Rattus norvegicus: one gene and its partner. Each later gene encodes a partner of the first gene's protein in a complex. Links are inferred from orthologs where the notes say so. Each region holds a gene or a part of one and is shown on either strand. Other genes may lie near its edges.

Region 1 (6,169 bases):
GTTTTCCTCAGGACAGCCCACTCTTTTCGGCCCTATAGAGTTCTAGCTAGACCTGACAGGAAAACCCACCATTCCCATTTGTCTTCACATCACCCTTCCCCAAGTCCAGCCAGTAAGGCTCATACCAGGAAGAAGTCTGGGTTGTATTTTGTCCTTGGCTGCTGAGTCCATGGTGTGCCTCAGGAAGCTGCAGATATGGTAGGAGTGGGGGCGAGAGCCTGCAGTAGCTCAGGCAGAGTGGATGTTCCTTTGACCCTACCAAGAAAGAGGAGCAAAGTTCTTGCAGAGCCCCTTCAGGAAATAAGAGAGAGGGACATAAGCTAGAAGGGATACCTGGGATATGGGGTCCTCTGGGGTTATGGGTTCTACCTCTTTTGATGCCGAGTGAAAGGCTGCGAATCAGCATAACTGTAAGTCCCCCTTCCTGCTCTGTAACGCCCCAAACAGTTTGGTACAGAACTTACCAGATCTGACCGGTGTCCAGTTCTCCCTCCTCTGCAAGTGGCCTTGGCCTTGAGAATAGCCTTCTCTCTCCTGCAGAACTGGGCACACCCTCACTGCTCACGGGACCTGAGGGACTCTAGCTCCTTTGGCACCACCAGCCAAATTCCTCTCCCCAAGGAAACCTCTTTCCCACTTCACAGCCCAGAAGCCCCTTCTTCCCCTCAAGGCCCCTCCCTCTTCAAAGCAGAAAGGAAGGAAGTTGAGTCTCTGGCACTTTATTCCCAACAGGAAAAGCAACTGCACTGAGGTGGGGAGAGCTGGGCGCTACTTCCTGTTGGGTGGGGGCAGCCGTGGACTCCCCGTGATCACCAAGTCTTGACCAGCATACCTTGACTTCTAAGTGCTCAGGAAACACATATGCACACATAAAGCTGACTTAGCCTCAAGCTGGTTTGAAGGATGACCCCCAAGTGTTGGAGTAGCTGCAAAGAACTTGAGAGTATGAGAACCACTGATGAGTGATATGCCTTGGTAGAGGAAAGATCACCTGTAGTGAGGTGAACGTATAGTGGGAGATGGCAGTCAGGGATTGTAAAGGTTATATTGTGGGCTGGAGAGATGGCTCAGTGGTTAAGAGCACTGACTGTTCTTCCAGAGGTCCTGAGTTCAAATCCCAGCAACCACATGGTGGCTCACAACCATCTGTAATGAGATCTGATGCCCTCTTCTGGTGTGTGTAAAGACAGCTACAGTGGGGGCTGGGGATTTAGCTCAGTGGTAGAGCGCTTACCTAGGAAGCGCAAGGCCCTGGGTTCGGTCCCCAGCTCCGAAAAAAAGAACCAAAAAAAAAAAAAAATACAGTCTATATAATAAATAAATCTTAAAAAAAAAGGTTATATTGTTCCTGTAAGTGATAGGGAGCCACAGATGACACTAGACGATGATAATGTTGCACCATCCAAATCTACCCATCAGAATAGACCCTCATTTCCAAGCTGCCAGAAAAGCTAAAGTTCTGAGTCAGTATTGATATCCAAAGGCCTCTATAAGTATCCTTGCTGAGCATGAATACCTCAGGAAGACTACCCCAATTTCAGGCCCCATTATAACTAGATCTTCTGAATTCTGCCTGTTTTACTCTCTTACGAGTGTGAATTTGTGTCCAAGAGGAACTGACCACCATAAAGACATAACCATAAGTGATAATGTTAAAAATAAGTAAGACTTGCCAAGTGGCAAGATGGCTCAGAGATCAAGAGCACTTGCTCCTCTTGCAGGACTTTGATTTCTAGCACCTACCTGGTAGCTAATAAATGCCTGTTAGTTCCAGCTCCCAAATATCTGACACCCTCTTCTAACCCTCCCTGAGCACCTGAGCACCTGTGCACATGCGCCCAAACATACACATACACACACCATCATCACCACCACCACCACCACCACCACCACCACCACCACCACCACCACCATCACCATCATCAAAATAATGATTAAAAATAAAAACCTTTAAAAATCGAAAGATAAATGAGACTTGCAAACATACAGTTCTTCCCATATGTCAGAAACTTGCCTTAAAGGCTTTGCTCATATTCACACACAGGCAAGTACCTTTGCACGGACTAAGTAGTGGTTGGAAACAAGACTCCAGGTCACTGTGAACTGTATGTAGCATGGAGGCCAGAGAAAAATAATGCTGGAACTAAATAAGAGTAGATAGTAGAAGTCCGAAGCAAGCTATTTATTGTTAGTGCTTGCAGTTCTGACAGGAACAACAGGAATTATCTCAGAACAGCAGAGAAGCCTTTAGGATCAGTTTTAAGTAAATAGGATAAGCTTGTGGCTTATGGCTTCCCTTTGCTAGATGGAGTGTTCAGGCAGTTAGTAGTTTGGGAGCAAGTTAGCAAGGAATATTCGGGTGGTCCCTCTTCATTACTGCTCACTAACCTCCTCCATTTCCTACGATACAATTTTTCAGGTTTCTTAGCTGTCCTGAGGAGTTGTTTTCGTTTCCTTTGCAAATGGTACATTTGTCAATGGTCCCCAAAATTTTGCGTCAAGATCTACAGATAGGAATTGCACCAGATACCCTGGGAAGGCGCGAGACGGAAGCGGAAGCAGCAATGATAGCTCCGGTGGCCCGGCGACTAGGAACGGAAGCGGAAGTGGTGCCGCCGCCGGCCTGGCCTGGCCTGGCTGAGGGGAGGCTGGCGGGCGGGCAGGCGCGATGGCGGAGGCCGGGCCACAGGCGCCGCCGCCCCCGGGTACTCCAAGCCGGCACGAGAAGAGTCTGGGACTTCTCACCACCAAGTTCGTGTCGCTTCTGCAGGAAGCCAAGGACGGCGTGCTTGACCTCAAGTTGGTGCGGACCGGGCGGAGGGGCGACTGGGGAGATGGTGGACCAGGCCTGGACCAGTAGCGGGAACCAGCGGGGCGGCCCCACTGAGTCCTCTGGCCGCCATCAGTGTGCTTTCTCACACGAGAGAGGCGGGAGGTTATTTTCATTCACTGAAGCCATTGAGCCTCATCTCTGTCTAGGTCCGGGTTGCAGGTGCTGGCCCTCGTGGCCCTTCGTGACTAGTACAGGGAAACGAGCATCAGAATATCAGAACACAACTCTTCCCAAGACTTCCCAACACACTCCTGGAGTAATTGGAAGGAACTCCAGGGTTGGGAAACAAGACTACCCCCATTCCAAACTAAATGAATCAGGGTGCACACTTAGGAGTGGGGCTAGCATTCTCCATTCTCTTCTACCTGCCAGGCAGCCGACACTCTTGCTGTACGCCAGAAACGGCGGATTTACGACATCACCAACGTGTTGGAAGGTATTGGTCTGATCGAGAAAAAATCCAAGAACAGCATCCAGTGGAAGTGAGTAGGGATGTTTGGGAGGGCAGAAGTGTCAGGGGTGTGGGATGATGGTCATCGGAGAGAGAAGAGGGCAGGGACCCAGAGTTCTTAAGGATCCCACTCAGTCTCTCACTCCTGTGGTTCAGGGGCGTCGGGCCAGGTTGCAATACCCGGGAGATTGCCGACAAACTGATTGAGCTCAAGGCAGAGATCGAGGAGCTACAGCAGCGGGAGCAAGAACTTGACCAGCACAAGGTGTGGGTGCAGCAGAGCATCCGGAATGTCGCAGAGGACGTCCAGAACAGCTGATATCCTCTGGCAGACCCTGCCCTGGAGAGTGGGCAAGGGGCTCTCAGCTGCTTTTGCTCTGTAGAGCTCTGGGCCCTTTACCTCTTGAAAGAATGAGCCTGCAACCCCTGGTCAGATTCAGACATGAGGCTCTGGTCTCTTCCAGTCTTAGCCCATGATCCTTACCCACTTGGACCCCAGGTTCCAGAATTTCCTCTGAGGGCTGTGTGGCAGGCATAGGCATAGGCATTGGGTCTCTTCTGTGATCTGGCGTGGTAAAGGCATCAGCTGTTCTCCTTAACCCCCACACCTTGGCCTACGTGACTCATGAAGACATCTGCAGGTGCTTTGCTGGTGAGCAGAGCCTGGTTAGAGGGAGGCAGGGATGGGACTGAGTGAAGCCATGGAGCTCCCAGTGTTAGGTCCACTGCCCAAAAAAGAAGTTCCGACTCTTGAAGGTTCAGAGTTCCGACTCCGAAGCCAGGCAGCAAGTCTCAGTTTGGAAGTCACTGGGACTCTTTAGAGACCCATAGGGTACAAGAGTCCCCTAGGTTTGCCCTCATCAGCAATGTTCTCTGGGTTTGGTTCTTGTGCATAATGGTGGCACAGAGGAAAAGAGAATTTGTACATGTAGATTTGTGTGCACAATCTTACATACTTGTATGCAGGGGTCGGTGGTGTCCGTTTATAATTTGTACTTAGTTCCATTGTGCATATAGGAACCATTTATTAGATATTCCTTGTGTCTTGGAAAAACTTGGTCAGAACATCTGTTTCTAGGAATCAGCATCATTTGAGGAGTGAGGTGGTGGTACCTGTGGCTGGTGACCTCATTCCAGAATATAAGTATACTTAATCCCAGCACTTGGGAGGCAAAGGAGGGCAGATCTTTGAGTTTGAGGTTAACCTGGTCTACTTTGCAAGTTCCAGGACAGCCAAGGCTACATAAAAATACCCTGCCTCAAAAAGGAGAAAGAAAGAAGTGTGCTTGCATCGAGGTTTTCTGGTTACTGAGTATGAGGTTTTGAGGAGAGAATTTACCCAGTGCTTTAGGATGGTAGAGGCTTAATATTCAGTCTCTTAGAGACTCTGGTCACTTGTCTTTCTCCAGACAAGGCAGGAAAAGAACAGATACTTGAATGAGCTCATGGGCCCTGACACATTCTCCTTGTTATTCTAGGAGATACCCTCCTTGCTATCCGAGCCCCATCGGGCACCAGCCTGGAGGTGCCCATCCCAGAGGTAGGTGCTCATCCCTGCAAGGCAGTGTCAACTGAGGGTGGATACTGGCTGTGAAGCTTGATAAGTTCTGGGTGGGGCAGGTAGGGGAGGCCTGGAGTTTAGGGTTATCTAGGTGGATTGGCAGATGAGGAGAGGACAGTGTGGCTCTGAGCCAGTCAGGCAGGAGCTACGCCTGCTTGCAATTCTGTTTGTTCCCAGGGTCTCAATGGTCAGAAGAAGTACCAGATTCACTTAAAGAGCATGAGTGGTCCCATTGAGGTCCTGCTAGTGAACAAGGAGGCCTGGAGTTCACCACCTGTGGCTGTGCCCGTACCTCCCCCTGACGATCTACTCCAGAGCCCACCTGCTGTGTCTACACCTCCACCTCTGCCCAAGCCTGCCTTAGCTCATCCCCAAGAAACCTCTCGTCCAAGCAGCCCCCAGATAACTACCCCCACTCCTGTCCTTGGCAGCACTGAAGTCTCAGATGTGGCAGGCCAGACAGCTGAGATTGCAGGTGAGACACTATGGTAAGGTGTGATGGATTATTTTTTTATTTTTTGGAGCCTACAAGAAACTGTGTCATGGCATGCTATACTGAGAATTAGAAGTTCCTGGGGTCCCCACTTAGCTTTCCTTGGAGTTACAATGAATGTGCCCCTTTAAATTACTCTGTTCATTTATTTGTGAGGGGGACACATGCTACAGGATGCATGTAGAGGTCAGAGGTGATCAGATGACAACTTGAAAGAATTGGTTCTCTCCTTTCATATTTCTGGGATTTGAACTCAGGTCAGGTTTGTCCATGAGTGTCTTAATTCACGAGGATCTCACTTGCCTGAATATGCCCTTTCTAACAAGGAAGCTTTGACTATATAGGCAGCATTAGTAGGGTAGTTTATCCCAGATTGGACAGTGTCTGATGGATCCTGGCAACCCCATGAGTCTCCCTCCTCCAGGACATGTGCTCTATCTTTAATGATGTTTTCTAGTGCTTCTTGGTAACTAGTGGTGACTAAGTCTCCTTGGATTTGGCTACCAGCACTGTGGTCATCCTGGTCATAGGATCTAGCCTATGGCAGGTGTAGGGTCTATTTCCTGACTCTGTGTTTGGGTTTGGGGATGTGGTTGCAGTGAGTGGTAGCCCTGGAACTGAGAACAAGGGCAGTGGTGAACTCAGTTCACTCCCACTGGGCCTGACAGCACTGGACACTCGACCTCTGCAGTCCTCTGCACTACTGGATAGTAGCAGCAGCAGCAGCAGCAGTAGCAGCAGCAGCAGCAGCAGCAGCAGTTCATCTGGACCCAACCCTTCTACCTCCTTTGAGCCCATCAAGGCAGACCCCACAGGCGGTGAGTACTTACT
Region 2 (6,230 bases), on another chromosome or scaffold:
GAGAGAGAGGCTTAGTAAGTTATCCAGATGTTTGTTGTTGATCTTGTTAAGGTGCTTGCTGGCTTTTTTTAAAATTTTTGTGTATGTGTGATTGTATACAATATGTGTACAGGTGTCCTTGGGGTCCAGAAGGCATGAGATCCCCTAAAGCTGGAGTTAGAGATGGTGGTAAGCTGCCCAGTGTGGGTGCTGGGAACTGAACTCCGGCCCTCTGAAGAGGAGTAAGCTCTCCTGACCTTTGAGCTACCTCTCCAGCCCTGCATTTTATTTTAGAAAGCATTTTTGTTGATTTTTTTCAGTAACCATTTACTAAGTACTAGGTTTCATTGAAGTGTCTTCAGGCATGTCAGTATACAATGTTGCCTTTCACTCTCTTCTTTACCTGCCCTCCTTATCTCTGCTCCTGCTCTCTGGCAGGTTCCCTTCCCAGGCTGGTTTTGAAGTGGTCTCAAGAGATTTTCCTGCCTCTGTTTCTCCAAGAGCTAGGCCTGCATACATGTACCACATGACCACATAGACTACCCTTTATCAAATTGTCATATTACAATAACTCCTAATTGTCTAAGAACTATTTCTGGTCTTTTTCCAAGTCAGTTTAGAGGTTTTTACAACTTGGGTTTTTTTTTAAGAGTATTTGTTCCAAAAATAACATATATGGGAAGAGAAATTCTACTCCTTTGTGCAAAGGACAAAATACCTTAGGATTTTTAGTGACTTGTGGTAATGGGGTAAGGACGAGAGGGGAGCAATTTTTATAAAGGATGTTAAGAGGTTGGCAATGGAAAACGTAGAGAGGAAATGCTGTATCTGTTACTCCAAAAAGACACCAGAATAGCGCCAGGGGAGTGAAGTCATGCCAACCTTCTAAGACCTCCAGCTCACTCTCTTCATGGTCCCATTAAACAACATTCAAACCTGAACCTTTGGTGACTCGGCCAAGAACCAAATGCACGCACACATTTCTGCAGTAGAACTCCTAAAAACCTGATGAACAGACATAAAATTTTATATAAAAGTGCAACAGGAGACATTCCTAGGCTGGATGAATAAAAGACATCGTTGCTTAATGCTGGATTAAGAATCTTGCCGGGAATAGAGCAAATCTTGTGTCAGATTCTAAGTCCGTGCTACGATGCAAACACATGGGAAAGGCTATAATCAAAGCCGGGACCACAGGCCTGAGGCTTCTGTAGCTCTACAACTTCCCTTGGGCTGGCTTCTTTCTGTGCGGTTAAAATCGTAGCCTAGAAGAGTGGAGGGTGTGTTGGCACTTGAGAACTGACTCTGGGAACGTGTCTTCCTAGGGTCTCATCTTCTACCACCTGTTTGGGGAATGTTTAGTAGCGTTAGCAAAACAATAACGCCCTTATTTATCTCGAAAGTTTAACTTCGCTGAGAAAGTTTAACTTGGCCCAGAGCTTGGGAAAAAAACACTAAGGGCCAGAATAGTTGGTAAACGCTAGCAAATGGCTGCCTTTGATGTGAAAAGCCAGGGTACATGTCTAGAGATTCAAAGTTTCTTCTCTGACCCTTGTTCCATGTTCCTACCCCCTCTTACCTCACATAGAGGCTGGATGGGGGAAGGGACGCTCCTGGCAAAGGAAAGTATTCTATAAACAGTAACCAAAAGGAGTTTCTGGGGCCCAGAGGTGGCTGGCACAGAGGTGAAAGGGAGTCCGTGGGAGGAACCAATGAGAGAAAGCAAGCCCGCGGGTGATAGCAAAGACTGAGCTGGACTGAAGGTGGGTGGGTCAGAGCTAGAAAAGGAAAGGATCAGGAGTAAAAGTGGGGTGGGCCAGGCGTGACCGTCCGGGGCTGGATTCCCGGGCCAGGCAATACGGAGTGACAGCTCAAACACACGGGTCTGGTGGAACACAAGGGTCTGCAAAGAAGGGTCTGGGCCAAGAAATCTGTCCAGCAGAAGCATGGTTTAGAGACCGGGCGGAAAGGACCCATTTCTAACGTCATGGTCCCTCGTCGCCACCCTCACTCGCCTGCAGGATCCGGGACCGCACTGCTGCTGCTGCCGCCACTGCCGCCGCCATGGCTCACCAGACTCTGCCCAGCTCCCCGCGCCTCCGCTGCCAGTGCCTCCCTAGAAGCTACAGCGCTAAGCTACGCCCCGAACACAACCTAGCCTCTCCATTGGAGGGAAGGGGCACTTTTCATAACCAATCATGTGTCAGGATTCTTGACTCCACCCATCACTCCCAGCCTTGGGGATAGGTGATTGGTCAAAGGCGGAAGCGTTTTCCTCTTCTCTGACTTCAGCCTATTTTTGTTGGCGGAGATAGGGAGACGCCCCCTAGACTTGGTACTGCATATTAAGCACACGGGGAAGACGCCCCCTAACCGAGAACTCCGATTGGCTATAGGTAGGCCCTCAAGGTCCCGCCCCTTTGCTAAGGAAAGTAAATAAAGTCCTTGAAGAATTTTGCCTGAGTTTCACCTTAACTACCACTCGCGGGTAGGGCTGCTGTCTAGGGTGGGACTAGGCAAATATTACCCTATGAGATAGGGAAACGAGACCGGGCTGTGAGTTAAGGATAGGTTACCCCTGTAAGGGGCGTGGCTTGCGGATCCTCGCTTTCCCGCCGACGGTTGGCCACGTCACGTGACATGGGCTGGAAGATGGCGTCTCCCACAGACGGTAAGAGCCGGCTTGGAAATTGTTGGCCTGTAGTCTCATTATTTGCTCCTCTGGGAACTTCCACAGCCTTCACGCTTACGCTTTTTTTCTTGGGCCCCTCTTCCTTCTCTCCCACTTCTCTTCTTTGGGCTGTGTCGGCTTTTCAGCTAGCAGGTGCCTGGTACCAGGTCTCCCCGCTGTGTACTAGGTAGGTGAAGGAGGCCACCAACCGGTGAGACCCTATCCGGGAAAAGGACAGAGGTCGCTCCGGCCCATCGGTGATGCTGAGGGGAAAGGGAGGGAACTTTCTTTTTGAACAGGCCCATTGGAGTGTTGGTTCTGTTCTCAGTAGAGCTGAGACGAGTCTCTCAAGCTCTATAGCTTTGAGTGGTGACTGACATGAGGTCTAGGGTTCATCCCTGTACCAAGCCGGGAGAGAAGGATGCTTGTCCCCTCAGTTCAGGACCGTTGCCTTGGCAGCAGGGAACCGGGGACCTGGTTTCCTTACCCTGATTCCCGAGGGAATGAAAATTAGCCTTGTTAATGTAGTTTCGCACGCTTCTCAACCCTTAAACCATCACTCCCTCTACTTCATGTGTTGTTTCCTTAGACTGAGGGCAGGAACAATTCTGCTTGTATTTCGTCTCAGGTGGTAAATAGGTGTTTTCGTTATACCCGTATGCTTTTGCTCGCGGTTCTGCTTTAGCATTTGGAATTCTCTTCTGTCATTACTCAGTATCTCAGTATATTCCTTGTCTATTAACTTTGCCCGGGCCACACCCAATTATAAATTCCAAGTCTGTCTTATTTCATACGTTTAATCCTAGGTTCTAGAATAATGCCTGTAAAGCATTTGGCCATAAATAAGTTAACGTTCATCCAAAAGTGAAACTGGCCTTGGTATGTGACCCCTAATTTTAGCTACTTGGTAGATTGAGGCAGGAGGATTGTTGCTTCAGGCTTGTCTAGGCTGCAGAATGAATTGTAGGCAAAATGTGTCTCAAATACAAAGTTGGGGTTTAGTTGGCAGTTGTTGGGTTTTGTTTTATTTTATTTTTTAACCCTAGACAAGGTTTCTCTGTGTAGTCCTGGCACTTGCTCTTTATACAAAGCTGGCCTCGAACTCAGAGCTCCTCCTATCTCTGCCTCCCAAATGCTAGAGTTAAAGGCACAAACCACCACCACCCACCTTCAAATAAAAAGTTTTCTTTTAAAAAGTAAGGGAAGAGTGGCTGGAGAGATGGCTCAGCGGTTAAGAGCACTGACTGCTCTTTCAGAGGTCCTGAGTTCAATTTCCAGTAACCACATGGTGGCTCCCAACCATCTGTAATGAAATCTGGTGCCCTCTTCTGGTGTGCGGGGGTACATGCAGGCAGAACAGTGTATAGGTAATAAATCTTTTTAAAAATGTGAGGATACAGGGGGCTGGAGAGATAGCTCTCAGTGGTTAAGAGTACCTGGTGCTTTTGCAAAAGACCTGGATTCTTTTTTTTTTTTTTAAGGTTTATTTATCTAATGTATATGAGTACTTTATACACCGTAGCTGTCCTCAGACACACCAGAAGAGGGCTCCCATTACAGATGGTTGTGAGCCACCATGTAGTTGCTGGGAATTGAACTCAGGACCTCTGGAAGAGCAGCCAGTGCTCTAAACCACTGAGCTATATCTCTCTAGCCCCAAGACCTGGATTCTATTCCCAGTATCTACATGGCAACTCACAACTGTGACTCTGACCTCCATGGACATCAGGTATGCATGTGCTCCACATATATACTGTGCAGACAAACAGTCATACACATAAATAAATCTAAAAATGAAAAATAAAAAGTAGGGATGTAGTTCAGTGGTAGAGAGCTTGCTTATCATGAACAAGGCAATAGGTTCAGTCTTTAGTACTAAAAAGCATGACTAGATTATATTAAAAATAATGTTACCAGATCTCCCTCCTTTCTTCCTTCTTTCCTTTTTTGAGATAGGGTCTGACTGTATGGCCCAGATTGGCTTCAGACTCACCATCTTCTTGCTTTCCTACCTGTGCTTCCAGTATGCTGGGATTAAAAGTGTACCACTCGGTAGGGCACTTGCCTAGCAAGCGCAAGGCCCTGGGTTCGGTCCCCAGCTCTGAAAAAAAGAAAAAAAAGAAAAAAAAATGTACCACTATGCCTGGCCTCTTACTTGATTTCGAAGTTTCAGGTTTAACTGCATTTTAAGTTTTGAACACATTCACATACCTTAAGGAACTGTGTTCATAATAAAAGAGATTCTCTAGCATGTGTGATTTTTTTTTTCCCCCTAAAACATCCTTTTCTTACTAGCAAAAAAAAAAGTGTTGGTAGGATTTTTGTCGGTTTTTTTTGTTTTGTTTTGTTTTGTTTTTTTTAAATTGAGGTTCATCTTGGTGTCTGTGGAGGTCTACTGAGAACAAGACTTCTAAAAGGTAGGGTCTGGAAGGATGTGGTGCAAGGCCAGTTTTGCTAGATGTGTGAGGTCTCTAGAATCAAAGAGAGCATATAGCTCTTCTTCAAATCCAGGGTGGTTTTATCTGAGATGATACTAAATTCGACTAAGGCAGGAGATGTGCTTATGTGTATAAAAAGTTCACACAGTGACTCCCAGAGGCAAAACTAAACAAGCAGAGTAATCTGGGGAGAAGTAAGTGGGGCCTGTAGAAATGGTGGCAGCCATTGTGTAAATGCCAGTGGATGCAGAATTTATGGAATGCTAGACCCTACACAAATCTAAACTAACGAAAAGTAAACAATTCAAAGAACTGAGGTTTGTGACATTGCAATTTCTTGAGATGGAGAGGGTTGGGAAAGTGGGGTTTGAACAGCAGTATTAAGGGGTTTTCCCTACATGTAAATGGACAGACATCAAGTAGCTCCTTGGACAGGAGAATGGTTGAGCCTTGAGATGTGAATTGTCATTGGTACATGATGGTGAAGTTGTCTTAGATCTGAGTGGCACAGACTGCAAGAGGAGTCACTGAGAAGAAACGAGTGTAGTAGTTTCATAAAAGCAAGAAGGGGAATATCACATGCTATGGAGAGGTCACAGAAGGGAAACAAGTGGGCAGATTTAGCACAGGTGACCTTGATAGCAGTAGTTTCAATGCACGTAGGGACTGAATTAAGATTTTTTTTTTTTTTTTGTAGGTTAGAGAGTGTAGGGCCTGGGAGATGATACATAGTTGGTAAGCATGCTAGCTTTGCAAATATGAGGACCTGAGTTGGAAGCCAGGCATGGTTGTACTGCCAGCATTGTGGGCAGGGAGGGCATGCACAGAAACAGCTGGATCCTGAGAGCTTGCTGGCTACCTAGTTTCTGGTTTAGTGAGCAACTCTGTCTCAAGACAATAAGCCTGAGAGTAAATGAAGACACTTAGCATTCTTTCTGGTCCTTTATAGTCATACACCTACTTGTGCATTCATTATATCCATATACCACACACACATGCACATGTACACAAGTGTGAAGTGGGAGAATAAGGACTACAGGATACCCAGGAGGGAAGTTATGAGTTTAAAGGGAGAGTTTGCATGTTTCTGTGTGTGTCTGCACTCAGCATGCATGTGTGTGTATAACATATGGAGACTCAGT

Evidence for each region.
Region 2: E2f4 (region 1) and Lin52 share a complex: the UniProt entries of both Homo sapiens proteins name them as parts of the DREAM complex. The link is inferred for Rattus norvegicus from reciprocal best matches to the Homo sapiens genes E2F4 and LIN52.

The regions. Positions count from the first base shown.
Region 1 is NC_086037.1:50,081,753-50,087,921, forward strand, and holds the start of E2f4 (transcription factor E2F4), read left to right. Parts: upstream 1-2,582; 5' UTR 2,583-2,668; coding exon 2,669-2,803; intron 2,804-3,205; coding exon 3,206-3,315; intron 3,316-3,440; coding exon 3,441-3,602; intron 3,603-3,892; coding exon 3,893-3,936; intron 3,937-4,762; coding exon 4,763-4,824; intron 4,825-5,022; coding exon 5,023-5,320; intron 5,321-5,937; coding exon 5,938-6,156; intron 6,157-6,169. Other genes in the region: Exoc3l1 (exocyst complex component 3-like protein), read right to left, coding at 126-171. UniProt on the Homo sapiens protein: Transcription activator that binds DNA cooperatively with DP proteins through the E2 recognition site, 5'-TTTC[CG]CGC-3' found in the promoter region of a number of genes whose products are involved in cell cycle regulation or in DNA replication.
Region 2 is NC_086024.1:109,827,637-109,833,866, forward strand, and holds the start of Lin52 (protein lin-52 homolog), read left to right. Parts: upstream 1-2,612; 5' UTR 2,613-2,619; coding exon of another isoform or gene 2,620-2,631; coding exon 2,632-2,650; intron 2,651-6,230. Other genes in the region: Aldh6a1 (methylmalonate-semialdehyde/malonate-semialdehyde dehydrogenase [acylating], mitochondrial precursor), read right to left, coding at 1,995-2,045.